Drosophila melanogaster: one gene and its partners. The protein of the gene in region 1 interacts with the protein of each later gene in a pairwise test. Each region holds a gene or a part of one and is shown in the gene's direction. Other genes may lie near its edges.

Region 1 (7,339 bases):
CTTCGATGTGGAGCGCGGAATGTATTTGGTAGTGGTTCCCGAGCTGGAGCAAATGTACCGGGATGTGGGCTTGGAGGTAAAGTTTGGGGCTGAGGCCTACGAAATAAAGGTGAGCGAGAACTATGTTCTACTGGAGGATCTCAGGCCTCGAGGATTCAAGAATGTAGACCGCCTGCAGGGCTTGGACCAAGCTCACACCGAAAGTGTCCTGAGAAAGTTCGCCCAATGGCATGCGGCTTCTGCAGTTCGCGTGGACCTCAAGGGCCCTTACGAAGAAAAGTATACCAATGGTTTTTTCAAATCGAAAGAAATCATGAACTTTTTCTGCGATCGCAGCGCTAAAATTTTGCTAAATAATATCGATCAGTACGATGGACATGCAGCTTACATAAAGGATTTGGTAAGTTAACTTGTGTTTGTATATATAGGTGCATTTCTAATCCAAACATTTCTCTGACTACAGCAAAGTGTTTCAGAAAAGTTATTCGATATATATAATGATATTAAGGAACCAAAATCCGACGAGTTCAATGCCCTCAACCATGGCGATGGTTGGTCTAACAACATTATGTTCCAGTACAACGACAAAAACGAGATATCAAATACCTACTTTGTGGATCTTCAACTGCCGAAGTGGGGATCAGTTGCGCAGGATTTGTATTATTTCTTGCTTTCATCGACCAGCCTGGACATTAAAACGGAGAAATTCGACTATTTCGTCTGGTTCTACCACTCAGAGTTGGTGAAACACCTCAAACTTCTGAACTACTCTAAGAAACTGCCAACTTTAAGAAGCATTCGCAATGCTCTTAACAAGTACAGTGGATGGGGTAAGTTAGTTATAATAGTTAAGACCATTATAATATCTTCTTATACGTATTATCTTATTGTAGCCTTCATTTGCTCTATATCCGTCATGGGAGTCGTTCTGCTGGACCCCACAGATGATGCTGATTTCGATAAGATCATTTCGAACGAGCATTCAAACTTTACGAATTCCATCTACACCAATCCCAGATACCGCAGGCATATGAAAGTTGTCTTACCTTGGCTGCAGCATCGTGGTGCCTTGGAGTAAAATATCAAATGATCTCTTAAAATTAGTCTATTTGCAGATATCATTTTTACTTAGAAATAAATTAAACGATACAAAATATTGATGTTGAATATCGGATTGTAATTATAAGGTGATATGAGAAAAGGGCCACCCTAATTTTCAGAATGGAAAGGCGAAAGATTTTTTCCTGTCCATACGTTTGTTTTCCAAATAGAATAATAGAAAATTGTATGCTGGAAATGCGCCTGTTATCTTCCCAAATACATCATCTAAACACTTTAGAGTTACTTTGGATTAAGATATATTATATTGAGCCAATATCGCAGAAACTGCGATGTCACTATGATAATCTACTCTGTGGGGTGAGGGATTGTTTTAAAATTTCCGGACGCACCTTTCGAGCACAGTCACTTCTCACAAACTAAATTAATATAAAACAGTTGACTGATTGTTAGGTAAGAGGTAATGCTTATCGCTCACATGTAGATTTATTTCTCCCTAGAGTATTTAAGACATTCGCTGAGTGCTCTAAGCTTGCAGTAAGTGCGCTGAACTGAAACAGCTTATTACAAGATGCATCCCCAGACAAAGGATGAGGATGTTAGCCAAAAACAGGTCACCATTCCGGATTGGGTTAAGCCAACAGTCTTTGAGGAGCTGCTTAAAAGGATTGTCAAGGATTACAAAGCAACGAAATCCATGAGGGCAAATGCAGGAGTCGCTGCTGGCGAAAACTATGCCACCGTAATGCTTAGAATTGAACTGGATGTTGAGAAAGAAGGTTCGTTAAATTCATTCTATAGGACTAATGAATTAGGGTATCAGCGTATTTGAACTGAAATTATCTTTCAATTATTGTAAACCTTGCAGATAACACTCAAACAACCAAGGCATTTATGCTTAAAACTCCCCATCAGTCAGAGCAGTATCGTAAAGTAATCGAGAAGACAGATATCTTCGATGTGGAGCGAGGAATGTATGTGGAAGTAGTGCCCGAGCTGGAGCAACTGTATCGCGATGTGGGATTGGAGGTCAAATTTGGAGCTGAACTCTACGACATAGAGGCCAGCGACTACTACGTCCTGCTGGAGGATCTTCGGCCACGTGGATTCGGGAACATAGATCGCCTCGAAGGCATGGACCAGGCTCACACCGAATGTGTTCTCAAGAAATTTGCCCAATGGCATGCGGCCTCTGCCGTTCGCGTAGAAACAAAGGGTCCTTATCAGGAGAAGTACACAAAGGGTTTTTTAAGGAACGAGGAAATCGTAGATGCCTTTATTAATCGGAGCATAAAAGTTTTTCTGGATAACGTCCATCTGTGCAAGGGTTACGAAACTTATCTAAATGATCTGGTGGGTAATTTATCTTTTGATATTCGTATCTTCAAGTCTTCTATCTTATCATTAATTACAGCGCATTGTCTCCGGCAAGACATTCGAAATTGTGGAGAGCCTCAACAATCCGAGTCCTGATGAATTTATTGCGTTAAACCATGGCGATGGTTGGGCCAACAACATTATGTCCCAGTACAATACGAAAGGCGAGATACAGGATACCTACTTTGTCGATCTGCAAGTCCCTAAGTGGGGATCAGTGACCCAGGATCTATACTACTTTCTTTTGTCCTCTACAAGCTTGGACATAAAAACATCAAAGTTTGATTACTTCATATGGTTTTACCACTCCGAATTGGTAAAGCATCTGAAATTGCTTGGATATTCGAAAACTCTTCCCACTTTAAGAAGAATTAACGACGCTCTCAACAAATACAGTGGATGGTGTAAGTTTTCAATCGTTACTTAATCATTAGTTCAGATCTTATAAAAAAAAACATTTCAGCGTTCATCTGCACCGCAACTATATTGGCATATGTCCTCCTGGATCCCGTGGACGGAGCCGATTTTGATAAGGTTCTTGGTGATGACGACTGTAGCTTTAAGAACTCGCTATACATTAATCCCAGATTTCGCAAACATATGGAGGTTCTATTGCCATGGCTTCAGCATCGCGGAGCTATGGAATAGATACTTAGAATGCACAATATTAAATCGTATGGCGTATAACGAAAAAATTACACTCAAGGTTTATATATACAGTATAGTAGAAGTAGCATATTGTGTAATATCTAATAAAGACCTAACTAGTGTTTAACAAACATTGTGGTTAATAAAAAACTTGTTCCGGAGTTTACATATAGGTAAATATAACTATAAGTATAGTTATAAGCATTTTTTTTTATGGTCATACAATTATTTTTATTGTCTTTAAATACTTACACTTATATGACAGACAAGCTTCTATATGGGTATAAATGCATCCCCCCACGTTTGTTTTGGTCTATATGTATGTATCACTCGAGACTTTGAAAACAAGTTGTTTTGAGAACTCTCCATATCCAGCACTCTCTTTGTTTTCCGACAAGCTTTTGGAGCTTTCGTATTGGCATTTGTTTTGGTAGCAAACAAAGATACAGAGAAAAAAAGTTTTGCTCACATGTTTGTACGGGACCAGCCGGCAAATAAACTCTTAGTTTGCTTAGAATGACGGCTGAGACAGGAACAGCGCCTATGCCCACCTGGCTGAGAGCAAATCTATTCGAAGAATTGCTAAGTAAACGTTACGGCGGCAATTATGCCGGAATCAAAAGTTTCAAGCCGGAAGCCGGGCTCAAGCCGGGAGAAAACTACTCCACAATTATGCTGCGCCTCAAGCTTGAAGTCGAACTGCAGGGTGAGTGTGAGTCACAGGTGAACAATGGAAAGTCAAGCAGAAATTTCCATCATCAGATCACACAATCGAAAATGTGAGCTATATGCTGAAGACTCCCTATGATTTCGAGATGTATCGCGAGATTCTGAGGAAGAACAACATGTTTGCTGTGGAGAGGGATGTGTTCATTCAGGTGATTCCCGAGCTGGAACAGATGTACAAGGATGTGGGCGTGGAGGTCAAGTTTGGGGCCAAGGCTTATGAAATCGACGCGCCCGATGATTACGTACTTCTGCAGGATCTGGGTCCTTTGGGTTTCAGGAACGTCGATCGCCTGGAGGGCCTAGACATGGTTCACACCAAGTGTGTTCTAAAGAAGATGGCCCAGTGGCATGCGGTATCGGCCACCAGGATCCATCTCAAGGGTCCGTACCCCCAGAACTACTTGCAACCCACGTACGCCGATACCATGAAGGAGAGCATCGAACAGGTGGCTGAAACCTTGGGCAAGTATTTCCTCAAGTGCCTGCCACTCTACGAGGGTTACGAGGAGTACAGTGCGGCGGTTGTATGTTTCTTTAGCTATATGCACCAATTGGTTGCACGGTTCATCACAAAATAATCTATTTGTACAGCACAAGATGCAACCTAAAATCGTCGACCTTATGTATGCTATGAACACGCCCGATCCGCAGGACTTCAATGCTCTGAATCATGGAGATTGCTGGACCAGCAACATCATGTTTAAGTACGAGGACGAGTCGCCCGAACCGATCGAGACATATTTCGTGGATCTCCAACTGCCCAAGGTCACGAGCGTGGCATATGATCTGATCTATTTCCTCCTGGGCTCGACGAAATTCGAAATCCAATTGAGTCAGTTCGATTACTTCATCAAGTACTACCACGATCACCTGGTCGAGCACTTGAGAATGCTGAACTACCCCGAAGCAAAAACCCCCACGTTGGGGTTCCTCCATACTCAGCTATTGAAATATGGACGAGTTGGTAAGTGGAAACCTCGCTCTGCAAAGCTGTAGATAACCAAGTTCTGATTTCTTTTCCAATCGTAGGGTATCACATTGCTTTTATTCTCTGCCCACCAGTGCTGCTCGATCGGACTGAAGATGCAAATCTGACCGATTTCGTCACCGAGACGGATAATGGCGATGGTCTAAAGTTGGCTATGTACTCCAATGCCCGATATAAGAAGCACGTTAGCGCCATTCTCAAATGGTTGAACAATCGAGGGGCCTTCCAGTGCTAGTTCGCTATACATTATATATATATAAAGAATACTATTGCTAAAGTGATTCCTAACGTTCTCTGGGAAAGAAAATTTGTAATACCATGACATATAAAATGTACTGCTTTCAATAAAATACTAATGCACGAATTTTAAGAATAAAATATGCTTGTAACTGAGCAATGATTATTCAGTGAAGTATAGAAGTTTCTCATTAGACGGATGGTAAACATAATCTCATAAGCACACTTTTGTTTTTAAATGATGAGTATGTGAAAATATATTTAACTTCTAGCCGCTTTGTACTAGCCAGGCCTAATAATAAAACAAAACATAACTGCCCCATTAAAGCACAATCAAAGATAATCAAAATGCCGTTTGGTACCCATATAGACCAGCATTTTGTAGGATTAATAATATTCAAATAATTGTTTATTGAGTGCGTGGTGCTCGTGCGGAAACCGATGGTGAACTGTCTATCTACCCATCACATGTCACGCCCAAAAACACCAATTAATGAGGAATCACGAAATAATTAGAGCGAATGGCGAGCGCAAAGAGGAACTCGGGTGCCCGATCCCGATATGGAAGTCGAATCAGGAGCGGGAACAAGAAACTGTTTTCGTTATCAATCAAACAATTGACGGTGTTTGCGTCTCTATATCATATATCACACACCTCTCGCTCGGGCACGCTATCGCGCACCCACTCTCGCCAACGCCAATTGCCACTCTTTTGCCGGTTTTGGCGAACTGAATTACAAAAAAAAAAACTTCAATCGAATGCATGCGATAAGGAATTTCTTGGCCCATACCCAAATCGGGGCAATACCGCTGTTCCCGAGCACAACCACTCGTATTTCCCACTCGACAGTTGGCCGGATTGCAGTCGATCTATCAGTGCGCTCCGTTTACCAATTAAGGAAAAAGGTTTGCCACCGCTGTATGTGTTTTCGCATTGGGCCATTCACCGAATCTAGGGATCCGACCCGCCAGTTTTGACCAACCCCCAATAGTGCTATAAAAACATAGTTCAGATGGGACTAACATCTAGTATTCAAACTTTTCTTGTGGTGGAAAGAGCGACTAAGAGTGAAATTAGCTTATAAGCTAAGAAAGTGCATTGAAAATTGTTCAAAAATCAAAACTATCATTTCAGTTCGATTAGGTAGGATTCCCCGAATTGTGTTTCGTAATGTACTCCAAACTTATAACAAGTGTTTCATTCGGTGGCATGTGACCTGATTTACGATTTTTGCTCATTAATTTGCGATAATTCTGATAATTGCCTAATCAATAAAAGCCCCACCAAAGTTCGGTAATTACCCGTAATGGAATGACCACAAATCGTCAAATCACGTTTCTCCAACTATGTACTTCGATAAAGTTTTATCTTCACAATGATGCATTTCCCACGGAATTATTAGTATTACAAGTTTTCTAGTCTTATACACTTAAAAAAAATATAAAAATATCAGGTAGTGCAGCAACTCTTCTCAAGTATCGAAGAAAACACTTGAGAGTGGCATTAGCACTTCTAAGTATTAGCTTGAGTCATATGCTTACTGACTTTTCCAAGTGTGGAATAAAAGAAGTGCCACATATTGGGGTAATAATGACTTTTGCAGAGATAACTTCATGGGAAATCATTCAAAAGTTATTGCACTTAAGGTTATTTCATTTTTTTATTTTACTGTACCAATTAGTGTCCGTTATGATAATTTTCCGCCGACGCATTAGACTCAATTTCAAGATACTCAATTTGTCGGCACATTTGATATAATTCTCTAAAAATACACAAATCTTGAGACGTTCCTTATTGAATGGGCTGGGCCAAAAGCAGAACGGATTTTATTATTCAAATATTCCGCGCCTTTGGCAAAAACGGAAGAGTGGCGCCACCTATGCTTGATGTTGTCGAACAATCATTTCGTATACGACCTGTTAGCCATGCTAACAGTGAAGTTAAAGAATTTTATTCGTTGTTATCAGCACGACACTAATGCTATTTTAAATTAATTTTATGGCAGATTCATCATGTCTGAGGCCACCACCAATGGACACAATGAGGTGCCAGCCAATAATCTTCCATCTTGGCTGTCGAAAATCTCTCTGGAGAAGGCTGTTCAGGCCCAGATCGGAGACTTTGAGAAAATCATCTCGGTAATCCCACAAAAGGGCAGCAGTGATGGCGATAATTATTCTACACAGTTCCTTCGTTTGCTGGTGGAAGTGGAACTGATTGGTGAGTGCGGATCTATACTTATAGATGCATATAGGATGCAAATAATTATATCGCATAAATATTGTTTGCAGACCACAGCA
Region 2 (9,695 bases), 1.8 Mb from region 1:
GCAAGAGAATTCCTCGCCGTGGTGAAATCGGCCTAACATCCGATGAAATCGCCAATTTCGAGTCCGTGGGCTATGTGATGAGCGGCAGCAGGCATCGTCGCATGGAGGCCGTCCGTATCCGCAAGGAGAACCAGCTGTACTCCGCCGACGAGAAGCGAGCACTGGCCATGTTCAGCAAGGAGGAGCGACAGAAGCGCGAAAACAAGATTCTGTCGCAGTTTAAGGACATGATCCACTCAAAGCTGCAGGCCAAGGACAAGAAGTAAATCCTAAAGGATATTGTCTTCAAAATGGATTTACCATAAATGGCAAACGCACATCAGGATTTCAATTCAACGAATGTCGAAACTTCATGATTGTTTTAATTTTTGTATTTGTATAAAAAAAATAAACGACAATTGTAAGTTAAAGAGCTTCTTAGAGTAACTTAATAACTTTAATAAACGCAAGAAAGTTTTCATTTTCCATTATTTATAATAATTTTCCAAATGTTCCTATGGCAGCTACACGATGTAGTCGTCCGCACACAAAATTATATATTGTTTACATATGTACTTGTACATATACCAAATATGAGCCCGCTATAATCATTGTGGCATTAACCATGGATATTCGACTAAAATATGATATAAAAATAAGCTATTTTCAGCAAACCAATCTTCATCAGAATTCGCTTCTTCCTGTGCACTTCTCTGGTTTTCCTGTTCTCCTTTCCGTCAATCTACTCTGCATTTCATCTTATTGCATCGTAATACAACAAAAACTAATGAGTGGGCTTAAATTTTCGTTGCTAAGCCCAAGAGATAAATCAGGTGTACACTTTACATGGCGACGGATTAGCCCACGTCGAGATGAAATACCGTCCTAGGAGCGTGAGCTGATTTTCGCCACGAGCTTCTTTTGTTTCTTGTGCGCCGCCTCCATGCGCATGTCCTCGAGATCCTCTTGCATTCCTGCGAATATATAATCATTATTATGGGTTTTTATTGGTCATGCGGTTTGCTACGAACCCAGCTTCTTGCTGATGAACTCCTCGCGCTGCACTTGTGCAAAACTGGATTCCATGCCACGATCGTCGTCGTCTATTCCTTGATAACGACGCTTATCATACCCGAAAATGTCGCGGATGTGAGAAGATATATCCTCCTCACAGTCGCCATCATCTATGAAGTCATCCAGCTCAGAATCGTATTCATCCTCATCATCGTCGTCGTAAATGCGTCCTTTAAAAATAGAACAAAATATGAAATCTAAAATCATTTTTAATATCAAACTTGGTATTTACTTTTGGTGACTGGCGGCTCGTTAGGTTTTCGTCTCTTGACATCTGCGGGCGGGAATTGCCGCCCGCCCTGTGATCTCTGAACATCCGATGAAGGAGTCTGTCGCGTCTTTGCAGCTGCCGGAATTTTTCGGCGATCCAAGGTTGAGATGCTTGACTGATCCCTAGGTGGAAACTCCCTTACAGTTCCCTTTAGGGAAGTAGCTGCATAGGGGTTCTTGGATGGGACATCCCTGCTAGAGCTGGAGCTCGGTTTTCCAACCGCCGATGCAGTTGCGCCAGGTCTGGCAGTCAATTGAGCTGATTTAGTAGCGGGCCTTGAGCTCGAGACAGAACTGCGACTGGCGGAGGAATGGGAATTGGAACTGGATAAACTGGTGGAGCTCGCGCTGCTTTTCGTTGGCTGTGGGGCAGTTGGTTTTTTAAAACTATCACTTGGTGCATTGGCTGGCTTGGCTTGATTAAGCTTGGGGATGCGTCCGTTAGGCTCCATGCGATTGGGGATGGATTTCGGAGTCTCCTTGCCTTCACTTTCGCGCATCTTGAGACGCTGGGCGCGCTGCTCCTGTTGCCGCTGGCGCTCTTCCAACTCGCGTTTCTCACGGGCCGACAACAAACGCTCTGGTTCCTTTTTTTTCTCCACCTCAAAAACCACGGGCTCGTGCTGTTTCTTTTCAGCTAAGCGAAGCAAGGCTTGGAAGTCCATGGGCGGCGGCTGAGCAGGTCGTTTTATCTTCGCCCGGCGCTGCTCCTCCTCCTGCCGCTTTTTGCGCTCCTCCTCGAGCTTCTCTGCGTTCGGATCATAAAGAGTCTTGGAGGTACTGTAAGAACGGGCCACGGAGGACTCCTTCGACTTGGTAGCGCTGGATGGGAGTGTGCTTGTGCTGCTTTTCTGACGTGTGTTACCCTTGGCCTCCTCTCGTTCCCTGGTAATGGCCGCCTTCACGCGCTCCTTGGTCCCAGAGAGATCTTTTAGCGACTGTGGCCTGCTGGGCGTGAATCCCTTGTCTTCCTGTACATCGCGTACCTTTTCAATGTACTTATCGTAAAAGGCATTCGCTTCAGTGGACACGTAGCCGTAGTCATCGCCCTGACCCTCGCCCGCCTCGTGGCCGTCGATGGCCCCCTCGTAGTCTTTGGCATCCTCCAGCACTGATTTGTTGGCCGATTTGGTTACCTTTAGCATTTTACGTATCTTGTTCTTGGACTTTTCGTCTCTTTTGGCGAGCAGATCGTTGAGTTTCTGGCGCTCCAGCCGTTTCTTTTCCGCCTCCTCGGCCTCCTTCTTTTGGAGAAACTTCTGGATGTTGCTGGACAGCTGCTTGGACTCCTTGGACTGCTTCTTGGGGGGCGAATACTTGGTGCTGTAGTATTTCCCCTGCCCCTGGCGATAGAGGAGAAAAATTACAATGATCAGATCGAATATAAATTATTTTGGGTCACAAAGGGAATGCAGGCGCAACCGCGTTTTCCAAGCATAAAATCTCACGCGATGGACGAACTGGACATCTGCATGATACCCACCACCTCCTTGGTGACCGCATCACTATTTTTTTTCGCGTAGCGCAGCAGGTCCCCAAAATCCATTTTGTGATCTGTATTTCTCTGTCGATTTGCTTTTAGCTCATCTATTTGGATACTGATATCGATTGGCGATAGGCGATAGACGTGGTCTACTTTTCGTTTCGATAAGAAATCAGAGGAGAGCACGTGAGAGCACGTACGCTCACGCAGTAATTGTATATTAATTCTCGTTAATATTTCAATATATGGAATGTATAAAATTCAGTTTTCAATTTCATTTTACCCTTATGTACGGGACCGACAGCGGGAAAGTCGGCGGGGCCATATTGTATATATATTATTTTTGAATAAAAAATTGCACCCTGTAGCTCGCAAGAAAAACACCCCAGCATCAATTGATATTCTACAGTCAGCCGGGCGCTGGTCACACTGCTGCGATGCTCGAGAAAACGTGGGGTTGAAAAACCTTTGAGCAACGTTGTGCCAATTCCACAATTAAACCGCAGAGTTTGCACAATTTGGCGGTTACACCTCGATGTCTGCCCTTATTTACCAGACCCATTAACCGAATTCCGCGAGACAGAGTGTGAATTGTTCTTTTAAATCGCGAGTTTTATGTGCGATAGACTCAACTGCAGGGTGTGTTGCTGGTGCGAGCGAGACGGCAGCTAGCGAAGAGCCGACCAAAACAAACTAACGCTAGCCGGCGGAAAAGGAAGAAGAGGAAGAGCAGGAGTAGATAAGCCAAATACAATACAATTGAAAAACACATTAAGAAATATACACACACGCACATATGTACACGGAGTCACACCCACGAACACACTTGCCTCGTTTAATCAATTAACGGGACAACGGCCAAAGAAACAGTTACAGTTCGCTTTCAGACGTCGCGTGCGAAGATTGTGTCACAGAGCAGCGGGATAATAATACCATAGCCCTAGGACATAATACGTACATATATAGCCGCCATGCCCGCCGCCGATGAACTGCAGTCGCCGTCCAGCGAAATGGTCCTGCTGACCCCCAGCTCCGGCAATCCTCCCTCCAGCATTGCCCAACCAGCGGCTAATCCTGCCGAGAAAGCTCAGTGTCGCGAGGGATCCGCCGAGTCAGACAGCAGCAGGGTTGTGATCAAGAAGCAGCTGGGCCTCCTCGAAGGAGTGGCCATCATCCTGGGCATCATCTTCGGATCCGGTATCTTTGTTTCTCCGAAAGGCGTCATCCGGGAGGTGGAGTCCGTGGGCGCTTCGCTGGTCATCTGGGTTCTCTGCGGACTGCTGTCCATGATTGGTGCTCTTTGCTACGCGGAACTTGGTACTGCCATACCAAAATCTGGGGGGGATTACGCGTATATCTTCGAGGCCTACGGATCACTGCCGGCTTTCCTGTATCTCTGGGATGCCATGATGATATTCGTGTGAGTCTTACTGGTCAATATTGTTTTAATATTCGCGAATATTTCGCCGTTAAAGTTCCCTTATCACAGTTGGTTCGAAAAACATAAATACAGTATCAAATTCCTTTCGGTAATTGATTTCGAATTACTTTATTATCGCCAGAAGGAACCCATTAGAGTAAAAGTAATAGCTGACATTTTTTTTTCTTTTTTGCGTTTTTACGTTTTTTTTAACGAAATAACATATGTATGTAGATTGAATGAAGTGAAGTAGTCCTACAGAATCTGATTTTTAGACTGGGTCAAGTTTAATAACTTCTCAGATAAGACTAGAAGAATGGAATACTTCGGATTGGTGTGGATGCATCCGGTTTTTCAAGGTTAAGCCATGGGTTGTGTATTAGAGCATTAGAAAGTGAAACGAGCCTTATCATTTAATCTGCGCTATATAAGTTTATTTATTGAACAGTTCCGCGAGTTCTGCATTGAGCGTTTTATTGCCTGCTATATTTGTTGTTTAGGATCGGCGATAAGCGAAAATATCTGCTTTTCTACTTTTGCATGCGGACATTATCAGCAGGACATATGTCTGAATGCAGTCTGCAAAAAAATTTCCACTGATTGTGTGCTCTTATCTCTGACAGACCAACGACCAATGCCATTATGGGCCTGACCTTTGCCTCCTACGTGCTGGAACCCTTCTTCGGCGGAGCCTGTGAGATTCCCAAAATAGCGTTACAGCTCCTGGCAGCCATCACCATCTGCTTCCTAACCTACCTGAATTCGTACTACATGAAGGTGACCACCAAGATGCAAAACGTCATCATGTTCACCAAGATCGCCGCCCTGGTCTTGATCATCCTGGTAGGCCTGGTCTGGATGATGATGGGCAACGTGGAGAACTTCACGAGACCCTTTGATAACACTGAGACTGATCCCGGCAAGATGTCGGTAGCCTTTTACTCCGGTATCTTTTCCTATGCCGGATGGAATTACTTGAACTTCATGACGGAGGAGCTCCGCGATCCATATCGCAACCTGCCGCGCGCCATTTACATCTCCCTACCTCTGGTCACCGGCATTTATGTGCTGGCCAATGTGGCTTATCTGGCCGTGCTGTCGCCCTCGGAGATGATCGCATCCAATGCCATCGCTGTGGTAAGAGTTTATCCACGATTTGCAGTCCGATCAGATTAGGCAGTCAAATTACTAATTTACTTAAAAGCTTAAAATCTGTTAGTTATCAAGCATAATGCAAGCCCTATAATGTCCGACTTTGTCTATTTGTAGCTTAAATTCGCAAAATTGCGATAGACTGCTGGGAATTTTAATTTATTTGATCGGAATCGCAAAAGTCAATTAAACCAGTGGATTTTCAAATGATTTTAATTGATCACTTCTCTTCACAGACCTTTGGCGATAAGATTCTCGGCGTGTTTTCACTGATCATACCCCTCATGGTGGCCATATCTGCTTTTGGCGGCCTTTCCGTCCACATCATGACCTCCTCCCGCATCTGCTTCGTGGGTGCCCGCAATGGACACATGCCGGCGATTCTGTCGCACATCAGCGTAAAGAGCTACACCCCACTGCCGTCGCTCGTTTTTCTGGTGAGCTGCGCTCCTCAATTAGCGCACAAATGATATTATGTAATTAATCCCTAATTGATTTGACTGTGTCCCTCTCGGCAGTGCTTTCTCTCCATTGTGATGCTGGTGGTGAGCGATGTGTATGTGCTGATCACCTACGCCAGCATTGTGGAATCGTTCTTTATAATGTTGTCGGTGTCGGCGGTTCTATATTTCCGCTACACCCGTCCCTGCATGGAGCGGCCAATTAAAGTGAGTTTAGCGTAATCAGTATTGCCAATGTAGACGTTCTACAGCCAACGAAATCTTTGTACTGACAAAAATTTAAATACTTTGATTATGTCTTTGAGCCTAACAGTTTAGCAAGACTATTCTAACTATATTTGTTCCTGGCACAGGTCGCCATGTGGATTCCCGCCCTATTCGTCATCGTGTGCGCATTCTTAGTTGTCGTGCCCATCTATGTGGCGCCCTATGAGGTCGGAATGGGGGTATTAATCACCATAATTGGCATACCTTTCTACTACGTGGGCGTCGTGTGGAAGAATAAGCCGAAATGGGTGCAGAGCACGATTGGTGAGTAGCCCTTCACATTAACCCCAATGTGTGGCATTGTCCGACATTTATATGGTTTTCCTTTGTAGACTCGGTGACCTTCACTTGCCAGAAGCTCTTCATGTCCGCCAAAGAGGAGAAGGAGGACTAAACTGCCATCGAAATGAAATGGAATCATTTTTCAAAACGATCTAGCTATTTGGCCCTCCAAATAACTACCTATTAAATCTCTATATTGATGTGAAAGCTTGAGAACGAGAAAGCTTGGCTCGTTAAACCTGAATACCAAAAAACGAAAATACCTAAAAAAGCGGAAAACATGACCTGTACATCACAAGGACTGGAGAACGAAGTCAATACTATCATATTTCTATATTTATATTTATAAACCATGACAAAAACTTTTACCTAAAGTGCAAATTCTTCGAATAGTAGTTTAGTATTGAGTTCTAGTTTAGCATTTATTTTGCACTCATTAAATTCGAAATCTAAACCAAAGTAAGCCAAAACTGTTTGCCAAAGGTGCGATATTCAGGTCGATATTTGCCATATAAAGCAGTTTCATATAATCTTCTGTTGCTTATTGTTTAAAAATTCGGTTATTGTTTTTGTCCCTCATTTTACTACCTAAGTGCATTGCATTGCAGTTTGTAATAAAGATTTTTGTACGTTTCATCGACGAACCGCTTTGAATTCAATCTTTTAGGCGCCCCTCGCGAAAGTATGCCACAAGATTTTAGCGAATGATAAAGCAAAACAATTGATAAGGTTGAATTGATTGAGCATTGCGTGGGATGTAAGCCCATGCCTTCGCTAATCAATTAGGGCTGATAAGTAATGGGTCTATTTTAAGCCATTCTCGACGGACGACAAGTCGCGATTTTTGGCCAAAAATAAATCGCCTCCTGTCGCCCCCATTGACATTTTGGACACTCGGAGGCTTGTGGAATGACGCCAACTCTATATTCGATCACTGATAGAGTATTCCGTGCGGATCCATTCTACCGTCTAGGTGTTTTTAATTGATAAAACTGGTGCGCTTATCTGGGATTCTCAGCACGGTTTGCAGGTGCGCCCGTCTATGCGAAATCTGGGCGAGAGTAGTGGGCTGATTTGTATGCACCGTATTCGGCGTCTCGTTTAATGTCTTTTTAAGTATTTATATGCGAGGAGTGAGTATGTCTAGTTACCAGATCGCTCGTAAAATTGCCTCAATCGGATTTGATGTTTTTCATTATGGCCAAATAATTGAGTTATTGCGACTCGAGGAGCATCTCAAGTGCGTTGGGAGGCTCCCCGAATCGTGGTTGTAAGTGCTTTATTACTAATATTAGCAGTTAGATGATTGCTATCTCACAAGATAGACAATAGTTTGCTAAAAGGTTGCTAATTGCCGGCACGTGAGTGCCGCCTCAAAAGAAGCCACCTTTCGGTCTTGACGAACGAACTATTCCACATTTGTTGATCGATGCTGATAGTTGGCTAAGTGATCGATATAGAGGCGTAATCTAGTAAATATTGATTTATTCTGCTTGGCGTTTGCATAAGCAATTGCATGTTAGATTAAATGGAAATGTCTCAAATGCTGGGGAGTTCCTTTTGAGCCAAGCTAAGCTGCTCATGTGATAATCATGCGATTATACCCCAACAAATATTGACACCTTTTGGGCCATGATTTGGGGTCTTCTTCACAATCGTGTCCAAACACTTAAATTAGCAGCTAGAAAATCAATAAGCCGAACAGACCGAATAGAACCGGTAACTGAATCATTTGCGAAACAATTGAAATTGTATTATTCAAATAGAAATTCTTAGGAACTATAGTTTACATACAATTGGTAGTTAAAGAATATCCCTCTCTCTTAAAATTATCATCGTAGGGTTTTTTTTATGTTACTTAACATAATTTAATTTTAAAATAATTTATACGCATCGTTTCACAATTAAGAAGTAACAACTTTTCCATCACCACTTTCAACCAGTTTTTTTATGACGGGACTCTGACAACTAAAATCCCACTCTAAACCTTGGCATTCAAAGTGTCTGGCCTATGATATCTGAACAATTCAATTGCAAATATCCGACTTCGTGTGACTACTCAATGGACACCATAAATTTATAAATAGATATCAGACTGCCCTCTATACAAAATATATATGCAATTTATAAACTCCGTCATTCCTACATGTGGATCACGAACTGCCCATACAAGTGTAATATCGACATTCTGTAACGCATGAAAAAACAACTCAGATCTGGGCATAATAAACCGAAAACGCTCCAATTCGTAAAGCCGAAACTTGCAAAACGTGCGAAAATCGCTCAATGAATATCCCACCATCCACATCGCTCGCAATCGATCGGTTGGATTTTTTTGAGGACTCCGCTCTTAATTAGCGACTTTCGGCGTGACGTTGTCGCGACTTGTTGGCTTAGTAACGCGAAGTGACTATCCGAAAGCAAACAAATAAATCGGGCAAATTGTATGCAAAACAAAATATTATCGTAAATGATCGAGGGCGGCATTAGGTGCGAATTATGACGAGTTTTACCCTTTTGATTTTGGCCAGCATTGATCGACATAATGACGCCCTTCTGGGCTTGGCGGTTCGATTGAGTTTCCGTGACGTTAAGCATACGCCGTGTTGGCTGTGCGTTAAGCATACGCAGGGTGGTGCTACACTTGTGTATATGGTAACTAAATTTCGCTAAGTGGGTGACTTAGTGGGGTGGTTTGCACTATGTACCGATCCTCCAGTACCCCGCCGTATTCCCATCGATCGATCGATCGTCGGCTGTTCGCGCGACTCTTTTGCACTGGTGTGTGTATCTGTGTGAGCGGTGCACGCGCTTCGGGCGGGGATTTCAGCTTTCGAATTTTCAAGTAGTTCGTTGACTGCCCGCTGAGGAAGTTGTGAAGGTGCTCCGCGAGCGAAACGTCCGCGCAGTCTAGAATCCGTCACCCGATCGGAAGGTGCTATAGCCGCTCGTCAGGAGTTAAGAACTTGGAAGAACGGAACCAACATGAAACTGACCGCTTTCCTCGAGGCTTCGTTTCTGCTAATCTGCTGGTCTCAAGGTAAATGCACATCCATTTCTACGAAGTCCTGTGACTCATCCGTGTTTGTCAGGGTCCAAGCTGTGCAGTTAGATATAGTGAACCGAAACAAAAATAGCCATAAATTGATAACTATTCGTGGGAAATACTTTTATTCAAGAATTAATGGTTTGTCATACAACCGGCAGGTGTGCACTGAGAAAAGTGGGTTACCACTCATACCGATTTTTATTTTCTGATGAAATTAAATAGTTATTCTGATTATTGAATAATTTGTTTTATATAATT
Region 3 (7,735 bases), on another chromosome or scaffold:
ATATCAGATGTGCGTTGCACGCAACATTTTATAAAAAATATTACTTTCAATGAAGTCAAATAATCATGAAAGATTTTATTCAGTAAGCAACTTGATATTACTTGTTCGTTACACGTAACATTTAATTAATAAGTAAGCATACAATTAGTGAAATAATCGGGAATTACTTTAATCAGCACGAAAATCGATTTTAGACCTTTCTACACGTTACATTTTTAAAAAAAAAATTTACATTTATTGTAAAGCACATAAAGTTATTGTAGAAATCGGAATTCCACTTAATACACTTGTCTACTGCCTCACATGACTGAACTACATTTTGTCAATCTCGGTGGCTGTTCCTCCAAAATATCCTAAACTTATTCCAGGAACTGCTCAATGGCCCACTCGAAGAGGGCCGTCTTCATCGTTTTGTGGATGTTATTAAGCCTGTTAAACGTTTTATTGCATATGCGATACAATAGTAATTTTCACGCTCCAACAGCGCCCAATGGCTGCCTAATGAAGCGTGCCTGTGTGCATAAATATGAGGCCGACGGAGCCCAGACGACTTTATTTGCAATAAGCGTAAACCGTATCCTGTCCTCTGTTCTCCGTATGCCGGAGAGGTCCTCAATGTACTGGATTTTGAGGGGATGTGGACGGATGTGGGCGAATGTGGGCGAATGTGGATGGATGTGGTTGGATGTGGGGGTTCTTGGTCGTTGGCCGCTTATCGCACACTCCCAATCACTCGAGAGTCGAGATCCTGCGAGTACGTGCCCAATGGCGAAGATGATCCCGATGGGTGGGCCACTCCGGCCACTCCAAGCATACCATCCATCCAAACGCCCCACGCTCCTCGCACGGAAACTGATTAAAATCGTGTTAGCTTCAACTTACAGGGCCTCAACGCCTACGGACGATAATGTGGGCTACAAATTAGCTGAGCACAGCAGACAAAACAAAGGATACACTGCGAAAAAAAGTTCCAAACGTAGATAAAGGACCTAAACCCCCATTGTGAATAATGTGTATCTCAGTGAATTAAAACTATCAAATTATAAATATAATATCTTTAAGTAAATGGTAAACTGTTATCTAATTTTTACCCTATATCTGAACTGTTGCTCAAAATAAAATATTTGTTTGAAGAAAAAACAGCAACGGCTATAAACAAATAACACCACTGCCAAATTATTGTAGAATGATCTTAATAAAAGTATCTTTAGCTACTAAAACTCTTGCTTCGTTCTTTGTTCTTTTGTACTGCTTTAATTAAATGGTATAGTAGCATTCGATTTCTCCAGGTGTCTGTGTAATGACTTACGTAGGGCTCGCCCTCCTTGTAGATAAGCTCCTCGTGCTCGAGCAGGAGCTCCACAGCCTCGACAAACTCCGCATTGATGGCGTGCAGTAGGGCGTCCTTGGTCTCCACCCCCATGACGACGAGCAGCTCTACCATCTCCAGGTTCTCGTTGTCTATCGCTAGGGTGAGGGCCCGACGGCCCAATGGGTCCATGCAGTTGATGTTGATGTGCTGATGGCGCAGCGCCTTCTGCAGGATCCTGCAATTATTTGAATTTACTTAATAAAGAGGGTGGCATTGCTGCTAATTGGGGCTAGGCGCCCACCGAAGGGTCCACAATAACTTTTCTTTTCTTCTCCTGTGCACAGATTTCCGATGCCCCAAGAATTCCCGATGTCAAGTCAAAAGTTGGAGTCCAAGTTTCTAATTACATCGCGGCCGCAGCCTTCAAACAAACTTTCCCAATCAATTGGGCGCCGAAAAAGGGACTAATATCAAATTTTTATTTATTTATTTTTTTTTTTTTGTGTTTTACGTTACCGCGTCATTCTTAAATGTCGTGAAATTATTTGGCCACCCTCGTGTACGTGGAAATTGCCAAGGACTTAAGATTGTAAAGATTTATAGGTTTATTTTAATTTGATGTCTTAGTAAGCGTTTATATTTTTGGTTTTTCCAGGGCTGAAATTGTTGTATTTGAAACAGCTGAATAAGATGTGGGATACGTTATCAACGTTAAGTTGGTCATTTTATTTAAAGTATAATTGTCAAATGCGTTTTTGCTAAGAAGTCTTGTAATTATTTTGATTTCTGTAGACTTATTGACATTAGACATTTGGGATTTTTAAACCATAGTTTTTTTAATGTGCCTGAGAAAAGTGTGCAGTATCGCCGCTGTTTGTTTGCAGAAAATTCTGTTTATTTCTTTTCCCTGTCTTTTTAAGTGAATTTCAGTCGTGGCATCTTTAATGCTTCAACTTACTACGGTGAAAATTCCTTTGGTCGATGCATTTTTAGCGGCCAGGTCCACGAGATTACATGAAATGTGGTGGTCCAATCCAATTTTTATTAGCCTTTCTGTTATCTTAAACAGAACGCTTATGAGACATATACATAGGTAAAAAGCTTGAAACCACTGAAGGGTATGCTTTTTTTGGGTATCGGGACAGCTTTGATCTCTGGTTTGAGCTGATAACCATATTCTGTTAAGCAGATTAAATAGATCCGCTTTTATATTGTTTTATATTGTCATTGCGCGAGTCTGGCTTTCTGTTTGCTAGATAGATTAGAAAGTCCATTCATTCAAATGGATTTCGAGTATGTAGAAACAATACAGTTATTGGGTCGGGTGATATTGCTTTAGTGGATTGAGTGTTTTTCAACATTTTTAGGAATTCATCTTCTTCTGGAGCCCATGCGTTGCAAGTTCGTTTAATCTGTTTGTATTTTTTTTTTTTAATTTTTGATGCTGTCTTAGATTTAAAGGCTTTTGGAAATTTCTTCTACAAAGGTCTGGAAAATTGATATTTTTTTGTTTCTTATGAAATTTTGAAGAGTCTTTTCAGCTGCTAAGGTCTTACGTGCATCTTCATACCTTTTGGTACAATCAAATTTCTGCCTCGCTGCGTTTCGAAGTCGGAGTAATTTTTCTTCTTCTGAGCACCATCACTTTTTTGGTTCGTATTTGTTTGGTCCTGCGATTTTAATTGTGTTTGCACCGGTTATGTAGTCCAATGATTGTTTAATGGAGTCTAAGCTTGAAAAATGTACACTTTCAAAGGCAGAAGATTTTTTTTTTTATGTTGTGAAATTTGTATTTATCTTATTAATAATAACTTCAATCGAGAAGTGATTGCTGTTAAAAATTTTGGACTTGGAGGAGCTCCACGAAATATATCAAATTTTCCAACACTGCAGTGTACATTGCCTGGCAATTAATCGAAATCTAGTTATCCTGGCGTTGATGTGTCAAAACTAGTTTTCACCTGCCAGTGTTTAAGGCCAAAAATCTTTGATTTTACGAACGTTCGTCAACATAAATTGTTGTACTAAATTCAAAGAAACTAAATCCGCTTCCAAGACGCGATTACAGTGATTGCACACTACACCCAATATTAGGCGATTAAATTATTTGTACGCTCCAACGATTAAAAAACTCAATACCCAATGGATGCCGCCGAGGGTCAAAGCTTGGTGATCAAAATGGCGCAAAAGAACAAGGGTGAGCCAATAGCCAAGTGTGTTCTCGGAAGATTCGTGTAGGAAAAGTATGTTCGTTAAATCTTGTAGAGACCCAGACTGTGAAGCTGGTGCCCGGAGGCGGTCTGGTCAACAACTGGTTTGCCCCGGCTACGTATGGGCCAGCAGGGATTCCATTTGGGGCTAGTCCCATGATCCCACCGCCGCCCGTTCCGAATCACAGCGTATCGTGCCAGTTTTACATGGACCGGGAGGAGCAGCTGTACCGCCGCGCCTGCCAGATGAAGGGCATCCGGGTGGAGCGGGTCTCTGAGATCCGCGAGGAGGAGGACGACTCGAACGGCTCCGAGGAGGAGCCTTCGAAGGGCATCCGCTACCGCTACACCCTGGACGAGATGAAAAGCTTCAACCCATACCGTTTTATCAACTTTTAAATGTTCCCAAAACGTCCCAAATAGCCGTCATAGACGTCATAGCCGTCACACTTTCACTTTTACCCACATCGCACCGTCAGCACCTCAATATTCAAGTTGATTTAAGATCCATAACTAGGTCTAGCTTCGCCACCCTACCCACATAAGATGTCAGCTTATAGGTTTATCTTGCATGCCTAAAAATCGCAAGGAGCATCACACGAAGAACAGGAACCCAGGACACTGCCCATTTGCTTGTTGTTGCCGTATTTCCATGTAGACTCAAGATCCAAGACTAGCACTAACTTCGCCACTACTTCCACAATTTCACATTAGATGCAAGATTATATGGACATCGTGCATGCCTCCAAAGCGTATTGGGAATCACAAATGAAACAGGAACCCCGGACACGGCTCATTTGCTTGTTGTTACCGTATCACTCGCCCGATGAAAACAATAAAGAATTGTTCATAAATGACATCCTGGGATGTCAACAAAAAGTAAGGTTTAGTTGTGCTTTCAGGTAAGGGAACTTAAGTTATCCGAAAAGTTGCTTTTCAATAAGATTCGTTTCTCGAATTGATTGTGCATGTTAACAGCTTTAAGTGGCAACCGAAAAGTATTTGGATAATTTGGCTTATCTCTTATTCATTGCCAGCAAACGGAATTAATCGTACATTTGTTAAAGCAAAGCCGTAAACGAGCGTAAAGTATCCGGGTCGAAGGCCTCATATTGCTTATTAAGTGGCTGCCGGGATGCCAGTTAGGTAACCATTTTGAGGCCCGCGGCAGACGAGTGTGCAAATAATTGAACCCACCACCAGCACCGCATCCAAAGAACCCAAGGAGGCTCCCGATGGGATTTATGGTACCTGTGCGACCCAGCCCAGTCAACACCTGTGTTACCCTGGGCGAAGCCACCATTGGAGCTCGTGATACCCCTCTAAAAATGTCAGGGTTTTTATTCGAACACCCTACACTCGGATAAATGTGGTAGTGTGTTTAACTATTTCTTTTAAATTGAAGGCTAAATATATCAATATACATTAGGTTCTACTCGATTGATACATTCATTAGCTAAGCTTGTACATTAACTTTGAATACTAATGCTCATCCAACACCTGATTGTGGTAAGAGTTTCTTGCAGTGTATCCCTCCCGCCCAAGATGCCATACAGAAACACCACCCACCCCCCCCCCCTCCCTGCTGGGCATCGGAGGCGTGAAAAGCGCTACTCACCTGCGCACATTCGGCATATCGCCGCGCTCGACAGCCAGCAGGAACTTCTTCTCCTCGAGCAGCAGAGGCTGTGGTAATCCCAGCGGCACACAGCACCCGCCCACCGATTTGGGGGCGGAGGAGGCGTGGCTGACGCCAGACGATACCTGGCATAATTTAAAGAGACAGGTGAGCAGGAGCCACATACGTACATGCCGATGTGGCGAGGGGGAAATCGTGTATGCGGAATTGCAAATAAATAAAAAATAAACATACAAGAAAATTAAGTGCAAAGTGGAGGATGCTGGGCTGATTGTCTGGCTTCCATCTAAATGGCATTGGAGGCGTTTAAGGTAAGCGGCGTTTAGCTAATACTGGCGGCTTTAAGACATGCTACTTGCTGGATACGGATCTGGATCGGGATCCTGGATGGGTTTCTACTTACGCCCGTCGGCAGCTTCTTTTTGCGACCCATTCTAGAGTTAGTGCACTTCACTTAACCGAACGCCAGCAGTTCGTAACTAGTATTCCATGTACCAAGTCCAGGGTTCAGAGTTCAAAATCCGACTTCATGTCGCAGGGCTTTGCACACTTGCAGTGAAAAGTGAACGATATTTACATATATGGCATATATATTTATATACACAATGGCAAAGCCAAAAAAGTCCAATACTAAGCCGGGCCACATGCAACTTTCAAGTTGATTTTGCTTTTGTACTCATAGTTGTATAGTCCATAGTTATATGTCCAACTGGGTGTGCTTGTGTGTGTTGGTGTGTGTGTGTGTGTGTCTGGTGGTTTTTGACTTGGTTTATGGTTTCTGGTTTCCGGCGTGCAAAAAGTTTCTATTTAAGCTGTTTATAATGTTTTTCTTTTTATTTCCGCCACTGACCGAGCTGGCTAAACCCTTTTTAAGTGCCATCTGCATGGGCAAGATTTAAGTTTTGCCAATTTAGTGAGTTGATTAGACACTGTGCAGTTTCACTGTTTCCCGACTGTTACTGGTCAATTCCAAAGGCCACACTGAACACCAAATTCGCGAGCACTTATTGCACCACTTATGACCAATTGTTCAATCGGCTTTCTGTTTTGATTTACATTTTTATTGCACTCATCTCATTAGCAACGAACTGCAGTTTGTATTAGTTGTTGCTGCTCTCATTGGATTGTTCACATCATCGCCAATCGTTTCTCCCATTAGAATTAATTTCTTTGTTTCCCAATATTTTCCCACACCCGATGAAAATATTTTTATTTTCCGCTGCCTTCCTCCGCATGTGTGAACACAATGCCAAAATGAATATTTAAGGAGCTTTTTTCGATAATCCGCAAAGAAAAAATGCATTCCGTCTACATGCTTTTGCTTTAAACTGGCTTTATGCTCCTGCGGATGCGGATCTGCATGCGGATATGGATGCGGATGCTGCAGATGCATTTAAAAGTGTTTGGGCTGGTCATAAAAAATGCAAGTGCTTTGTATGCGCGGCAGGCAAAAACTCGGAACCATCATCATGGCGGTTGTTCCATAAAAAACACTTCCGGTACCAACAAAAGGTGGTTCTGACTACCCCAGGAGCCCCGATGGTGCATTGTTTAATTAACTTAATAGAAATATAAGTGCGGAGGACGGGCGAAAATGCGGACGGACATAAAAATGTCGCAATAAATTCGGTTTTATCCGCCACTTCATGGGAAGCGTTTATAAATGGATTTATAGCTGTTCACCTGCACAGCAGGTGCATACTGCGACTGCCCATCGAAATGGGATTATATCTGCACCTGTATATATTATAACAAGTATAAACTATTCGGTTAACATACGATGTAAAATGCATATGATATTTCACTCTAATTTCTCCCTCTGCAGCCGAGATGTGTTAATTCTGCCTGGCACCGATCGAAGTATCATAATTTTGTCGCAAGCGCACTGGAGTTCATTAAAACTAGAACAAATTTTGAGTATTTTACAGAGTTCATAAAAACGAAGGGCTTATCGCGATGGCAGCCAGTTGAATCGAAACTCCAGCAGTCACAGACCACAAGCTCCGCACACACAGCCCCAACTTGACAATCAACGGAAGAGGTAGGAGCAACCTGCAGCTGCCAGGAGCAACCAGGAGCAGTCAGGAGCAACCAGGAGCACAATGAATGAAGGATATAGCCACGTAATTCAGTTGGCTCACGGACTGCACTTAAGCCACTTATAACCAAGCGTACGGATACGTACTTCTTGCATTCCGGCACATAAAAACGTGTGCAATTGTTCGACTCGCTGGCACAATGGACGTTGGAATTTCATGTGACCGGCTTAGGTGAGAGGACTGCGACTATGAATTGTATGCTGGCATATACTTTATAACAATACGTTTGGCCACCGAACTCCCGAATTCCCGTACAATGTGTGTTGTAGTTTATGTATATCTGAATTTCAGCTCTTTTGAAGGCGAAAACCCGCCGAGAGACAACCCGCGACGCAGCCCGAACGTGTGCCACCTGCGAAATTTACACGCTGCTACTAACGCGCAGAAATTTATACCTTTCCCGAGGGCCGAGCGGCGATGTGGCTAATTTAATTAGACTAAAACGTCAAATATTTGTCACCCATCGCATGGATAC
Region 4 (5,978 bases), on another chromosome or scaffold:
ACACTTGTAACTTGAGTGCGACAAATCGCATTTACTTGGCTTGTTCTGCTTTAATAAATATATTGGTTTACAGCTAATTTTAAATTGTTTAAAATGAGCATTTTCACTTTGGGTACTTTTGAACATTTGAACATCAAGAATGGAAATAGTGTTTTTATGAACTTTTTGATCGCTTTCATATGCATTTTGTGAGATCTGGTTGCTTTAGGCGCATCAAACATTTTATTTACAGCAAATTTACGCATTTTGGACTTTCGAACGTGGCATTTTTTATGTTTTTCGTATTTTTGTCGTTTGTTGTTTGCGTTTGGCGTTGAGTAGCGGAAATAGTAAAAGTTTTCTAATGAGAAAAGTTTCCTCACAGACAAAGAGAGGAAGCGCCGGCGACAGAGACAGAAATATTTCGAGGGAGTGAGATGGCGGGCGTGCGAGAGGGAGAGAGCAAACAGAAGTGCTGCAGGAGAAACAGAGATGGAACGACATCCTTGTTCATGGTGTATTTAATCAGTCGCCTTGTCGCTGCTGTTTCTGTCTCCGTCTCACACTCAAAAAATATTTTACTAAATTTTGAAATTAGAAAAAAATTCCAACTATAGACCGGAAAATAATTTAAACTATTATATCATTCGAAATGTATAGGATTTTTCAAATATTTATGGTTACCTCTTAAAATCGGGTATTAAGCGACCAGTAAAAGTGTCATAACTTCCATTCCTGTTTTCTATGAGTGCACTCCTTTTTCTTCCTTCGAAGGATGTGCGAGTGTTCACATCAAAAACTAAACACGTCAAAGTAAGCAACGGAAATGAGAAAAAAGTGCGCTTATTTATTTTTATACTTTCTTTTCGACCCAACCCCCTCGCTTCCCCACCACCCCCTGTTGACAGTTTTTTGCGTTTTCGCCTGCACTTCTGTTTGACTTGACGAAGGAGCGAGCGAGAGGGAGGCGGAGTGGGACAAGGACAGCGAGATCCCAGCGGCGACATCAAAGCGCGTTATAATTCCGAATTATGCAAAGCTTAGCAAACGTGGACGCATTGTGGCGTTTACAAGCGGAAATAATGAAAAATAGCGCGAGACGCGGCATCATTTGTCGCCTTCGCGTGGGCGAAAATATGGGGGCGTGGCCAAGCGGAAGCGGCAGCAGATTGTTGCATAACGTTGTAACGGCAACAATACCGGAACACGGAGATTGCAGCTGTAAACCGAATTCGCTGTAACACCTTGACTACTTGGAATTTAAAGGCTGCACTGTGAAAAACATGCAACAGTTTCAGATGACAAATCCACCACAAAAACATTGATTTCAATTAATTGAAAGATACTTCAATTGAAGACACTTAAAACCATTGCTCAATTTTGAATTTAAAATTAATAAGTTATATTATTACATTTTATTTTGCAATATATTTTATATTTGCTCTCTGACTTCTCTCAGTCGAATAGAATTATTTGATCATGCTATCATTTGAAGTTTTCAACTCAAGCGGCAACTTTGTCTGTTTCGCGATGTATCTACAAGATGCATCTTGGCCAATAATTATTTAATACGCTATTAACGTGTTTTTGTCTATCGCCTGCCATGTATCGGCCACAACTTTACAAGATTCTGGATAGCGTTTTTAACAAGGCAATTAAATGCTGCACCCAGTGGATTTATGGGGTATATAAAGAAGTCGAACTTGGAGCAAACGTACAGCAAAAGCCAAACGAATTGTACGGGTCATTTTCAACCATTTTAGTGAGCCGTAAGAACGTGACAGCTCGGAAATGAAGCTACTCTGCGTTGTTTTGGTTATTTACGTTGTGGCTCTGACCCTCTTCGGAGTCGATGGACGTGGTGGGGGCACCACAAATGGAGTGGAGGTAGGATTCGGTGGTTTAGTGACCTATCAACGGGCTTAATCGTCTCTCCTTGCAGGAACCAAAGTTCGTCGGTTTGTTCAGGCGGGTGAGTACACAAAGAATGGGTCAAACTGAAGGCCAGTGATTGCTAAGACTATTGGCCCTACAAACGAAACTAAAGGCGCCAGAACAGATGAAGCAACTAGATGCCCAGGAGGCAGTGCACTGGCGGCGCATTCACAATTTAGCACTCCTAATGCAAAATTATGTTAAATGCCTACTTCTAGGCAAGGCGCCATGTCCCCGCAATGAAAACCGCCCTTCTTCACGGCAACGAACCGCCTCCACCTCCGAAATTCCGAGTAAGAACTTAGTAAAATGTAGAAAACTAGAACATTTATATAAGCAATTGTGTTGCGGCCGTATATCGAAGGGCCTTTCTGTTACTTTATTTTTAATTGGCAAATTAATATTGATATATATATTAATACATAATTTGCGAAATATTTCCAGTCCCGTCGTGATACATTGGAGGACAAGCTCGTGGCCAATGATGATCCTCCACCACCGCCGCAGTTCAGAGTAAGCACAGTCCGCTGTTCAAAATAAGTGGAGTGATCCTTAACCCATTACTATTCCTCCATCCTCAGCAACGTCGTCAGGCTCCACCTGGAATGCCACCACCGCCGGACGGCCTTCCACCACCACCCCAGTTCCTTCTCTAAAGTAATGTAAAGCATAAAGTTGGGCGTTTGTGCATGTATTTGGGAACCACATCGAAGCTAATAAAAGTAGTTTGAAGCATTCCAAAAATGACCACACCCGAATTTCCTTAAGCCATTAACCATAAACCATAGAGGGTAATTTTCTGGGAAATTCAACGGGCTAATCACCTTGTGCAGCTGCTCTCGGGATAATGGGCCATAATCCTGTGACAGGTAGAGAAGAAAACCTGTTCTACCTGCACCATCTATTGCTCCTATTTAAGGTGAGTCTGTGCTCTTCGGAAATCAGTTTACATTTGCCAACAGATCATACAACACGCACACACACCTTTCGAGATGAAGTTCGTGGCCATTCTTCTGCTGAGCAGCCTCACCATTGCGATGGTTTTGGCATTTCCTGATAACGACGATAAAAATGTTCTTGTGCCAGCTGATATGCAGCATGTTGCTCCACTGGCCGCAGCAGCAGATCCCCCGACGTCGGCAGACCAAGTCTCTAACAGCATACGCGGTCCACGCCATCTCCTGAGCAAATTGTTCCAGCCCAAGACCGTGGTGGTGCAGCCAGTGATTGTGGAGCAGGTGGCTCCAAGACAGTACCCCGGATACGCACAGCCCTATCCGTACTACAACCAGGGCCGACGCTACTGGTAGACCGTATTTTAAGCAGCTATTTGTAACCGAATTTAATAAAATAAAGACGCCTGGCCTTTAAGTCAAAGATTAATTTTGTTGTTCTTTATTTTGTGCGATGGCAAATTCCTTAGAGTAGCAAATCCCTTAAGTTGAAAACAGTCGCCGTTTTGCTGGCCGCGCCAACAACTCTTGTCGAGAACTCCCTAATGCCTAATTAGTCATGCCGGGCACGTAGGAGCGATTCCCGAAAAACTTAGTGAAGGTCGCGCCTCGGTGACGATGACAACAACTGCCACAAAGGACACAACGTTGCGGGATATTTAAATAATTTTATGCAAGCGATTGGCGGCTGGCACAAGAGTTCGCAGGAAACTCAAAAATGGGACACTTTAAACGAGAGTGTAGTCAATTGTTCACTACTTACTAAAACTATTTTCAACAAACAACAAAACTCAATCGTGCTGACTGTTTTTATACTCGTAGTTACACGTAGAGTAAAAGGGTAAAAGGGAAGAAGAAAGCGTTTTCGACCATATCAAGTATTCATGATCACGATCGATAGATCTTAGGTACTATAAAAGCTAGAAAGTTGAAATTAAGCAGCGCAAGTTTATTTCACGTTGCCACGCCCACAGTTCGGAAAAATACTTGAAATTTGTCATTGTTGTTGAACTTTCTTCTTGAATTGAATGAATGGATTTAGTTTTTATCTATTCAAGAAGGCAAATAAAATGTAGTAAATGTATTTCTTATGAAAGATTTTTTTTTTGGTTCTAAACAATTTTTTAATTAAGTAATGCGCCCATGGGATCCCAAGCAGGCAGTTCTTTCCATTTATGTATCCTTGCGGCATGTAAAACACCCGATGGGACAAATTTTTCGTGGACTACAATCTCAAAAGCGTACTCCCTTAACCATTCGGCGTCCAATTTGTTATCCGGTGGTTTGACCGACTTCTTTCTTAATGCCTTCGTAACCTTTTCGTCCACATCGTGTTCATTAAGACCTCCGGTGGCGGGAGACTCGCCAATTGTAGAAGCATTTATGAAGCGAAACTGTACGGGCTGTTTCAAGGTGTCCAATCCAACGGATGTAAGGAGCAGGGCTGCATCCCGTCGGGATGCTCTGTAGTCAAGTCTCTCTGCTTTGGTGAGCGACTCGCCCACTTTAAAGCCAAATAGCAAATCAAATTGATGCGATCTCAGGCTTAATGGACCGGACTTCAAACTGATTGCTCTACGAATATCGCAGGCCATCCAAACGGGTTTATCACCTTCCAGAGAAGTCACCATGATCTGCATTATGATGTCCATTGATTGGTTATTATACCTATGAGGTTTTCCGCCCATCATATTCGAGCTGTTGGCAACCTGATAGTTGCTATGGTAGCTGGATGAGATTCGCGGATCGTGACCCAGACAGACAAAGGCGTCTAGATTCACCGTACAGCCTACCATAACTTCGTAGAAATGGACCGCTGTCATATCATTCAGGCACTGGTAACGCTTTTTGTGGTCGTAGAAGGACCAGGTGAAAACCTTGGGAGGTTCACCAAGGCAGATGCATATTACTTTGAAGAGATGCGGAATCATTTCTTGAATGAGATCGGGGAGACGGCAGCCATTCCCATTAAAGGTGAACTGAGCATGCAGCATGCTGGCATATTCACGTAGCTTTAGGTGAAGGAAATATATACATATGTATATAATATTCAGTACAATACAAAATACCAACCTTACTCTTCAGTATGAGGTTCATTTTTGTAGTTCGCTGAGTGGAGTGGAGGTAGCATTTCTTGGGCATAACTCCGTATTTTTTGACCAGATTAACGAACATTTGCCAGTTGCCTCCATCTGGCACTGGGTTCTTAATTAAATTCCGAAAGCAGCGCCCATCCAGCGGTTCGCAACGCATTAGAAGATCGGCGACCGTCCACAGGAAGTAGTTGCATCGCTCCAACTTGTGCCAGAAAAACAAATGTGCGGCGGAGAGTTCAAAGTCCAGTGGAAGCGGCAACTTTCTGTCCATCTCCTGGCACAGCAGGTCCAGGCCCGTGCATATCCATCCCGGACCACCGGTAGTGGCCTTGCCCTGCCTGCTCAACTCTATCCAGGTTTTCACACCTGACGGAACGGAGCATAAGTCCGCCTCGGATCGCAGGCATACAGTGATGGGATCTTGAGCGGTGCACACATTCTGGGCCAGACGATTCATCGAAGACGCGTAAAAGGCGGAGTACCAGGCGGACCACTGCGGTTCGGTCAACAAAAAGCTCATTTTCGTATCTTGACGAGTGATCTTATTCCGAATATCTCAAGTGGTTGACATTAGAAAGCGCAGGAATAGACACTATAAATTTAGACCTATCTTTCGGTCCGAATTCGTTTCGTCTATTTATCGCAATTAATTGGATAGAAAAGCAGTTGTCAAACGCAACGTGTTTGGGCACGTGTCCACTTACAATCGATTATTTATCAATCAAATACCGGATCGATAAAAAAAAAACACATCTCTAGCTGCTCGCGCGCAGTTCGATATTTTTGCTTCACATAACTTGAATACCATTGTTTTCGCTTTTAAGTTTCAGCCTATAAATAAAGTCATTAAGATAAAAAGTTCACCCCACATATCCATCCACTGCGTTCATTCCGCTCATATTAACAGAATTGACATTGAATTTGAAAATGGGAAATGGCAGCGAATCAATCTTCGAAATGGACAACAAGGACACAGATAAGATACTTGGTTTGTACTGACTATGGGTTGCAAATC

Evidence for each region.
Region 2: the proteins of CG10559 (region 1) and gb interact in a two-hybrid assay, tested with the Drosophila melanogaster proteins (one large-scale study listed by BioGRID).
Region 3: the proteins of CG10559 (region 1) and CG1690 interact in a two-hybrid assay, tested with the Drosophila melanogaster proteins (one large-scale study listed by BioGRID).
Region 4: the proteins of CG10559 (region 1) and CG13427 interact in a two-hybrid assay, tested with the Drosophila melanogaster proteins (one large-scale study listed by BioGRID).

What each region holds. Positions count from the first base shown.
Region 1 is NT_033777.3:25,312,366-25,319,704, reverse strand, and holds CG10559 (uncharacterized protein), read left to right. Parts: upstream 1-3,588; 5' UTR 3,589-3,600; coding exon 3,601-3,790; intron 3,791-3,846; coding exon 3,847-4,337; intron 4,338-4,404; coding exon 4,405-4,777; intron 4,778-4,842; coding exon 4,843-5,036; 3' UTR 5,037-5,211; downstream 5,212-7,339. Other genes in the region: CG10560 (uncharacterized protein), read left to right, coding at 1-400, 464-830, 894-1,078; CG10553 (uncharacterized protein), read left to right, coding at 1,631-1,838, 1,928-2,412, 2,474-2,840, 2,900-3,084; CG31087 (uncharacterized protein), read left to right, coding at 7,052-7,259, 7,331-7,339.
Region 2 is NT_033777.3:27,105,802-27,115,496, reverse strand, and holds gb (genderblind), read left to right. Parts: upstream 1-3,226; 5' UTR 3,227-3,777; coding exon 3,778-4,226; intron 4,227-4,463; exon of another isoform or gene 4,464-4,849; coding exon 4,850-5,363; exon of another isoform or gene 5,364-5,614; coding exon 5,615-5,815; exon of another isoform or gene 5,816-5,896; coding exon 5,897-6,046; exon of another isoform or gene 6,047-6,168; intron 6,169-6,192; coding exon 6,193-6,370; intron 6,371-6,438; coding exon 6,439-6,500; 3' UTR 6,501-7,030; downstream 7,031-9,695. Other genes in the region: CG6066 (uncharacterized protein), read left to right, coding at 1-266; CG5815 (uncharacterized protein), read right to left, coding at 865-953, 1,011-1,223, 1,286-2,666, 2,807-2,869; CAH9 (carbonic anhydrase 9), read left to right, coding at 9,374-9,428.
Region 3 is NT_033778.4:9,753,589-9,761,323, reverse strand, and holds CG1690 (uncharacterized protein), read left to right. Parts: upstream 1-3,255; 5' UTR 3,256-3,454; coding exon 3,455-3,509; intron 3,510-3,577; coding exon 3,578-3,921; 3' UTR 3,922-5,031; downstream 5,032-7,735. Other genes in the region: trpl (transient receptor potential-like), read right to left, coding at 1,310-1,547, 5,141-5,286, 5,565-5,594.
Region 4 is NT_033778.4:20,536,194-20,542,171, reverse strand, and holds CG13427 (uncharacterized protein), read left to right. Parts: upstream 1-2,855; 5' UTR 2,856-2,906; coding exon 2,907-3,224; 3' UTR 3,225-3,295; downstream 3,296-5,978. Other genes in the region: CG13428 (uncharacterized protein), read left to right, coding at 1,771-1,866, 1,922-1,951, 2,133-2,207, 2,359-2,427, 2,496-2,570; CG13423 (uncharacterized protein), read right to left, coding at 3,992-4,879, 4,941-5,483.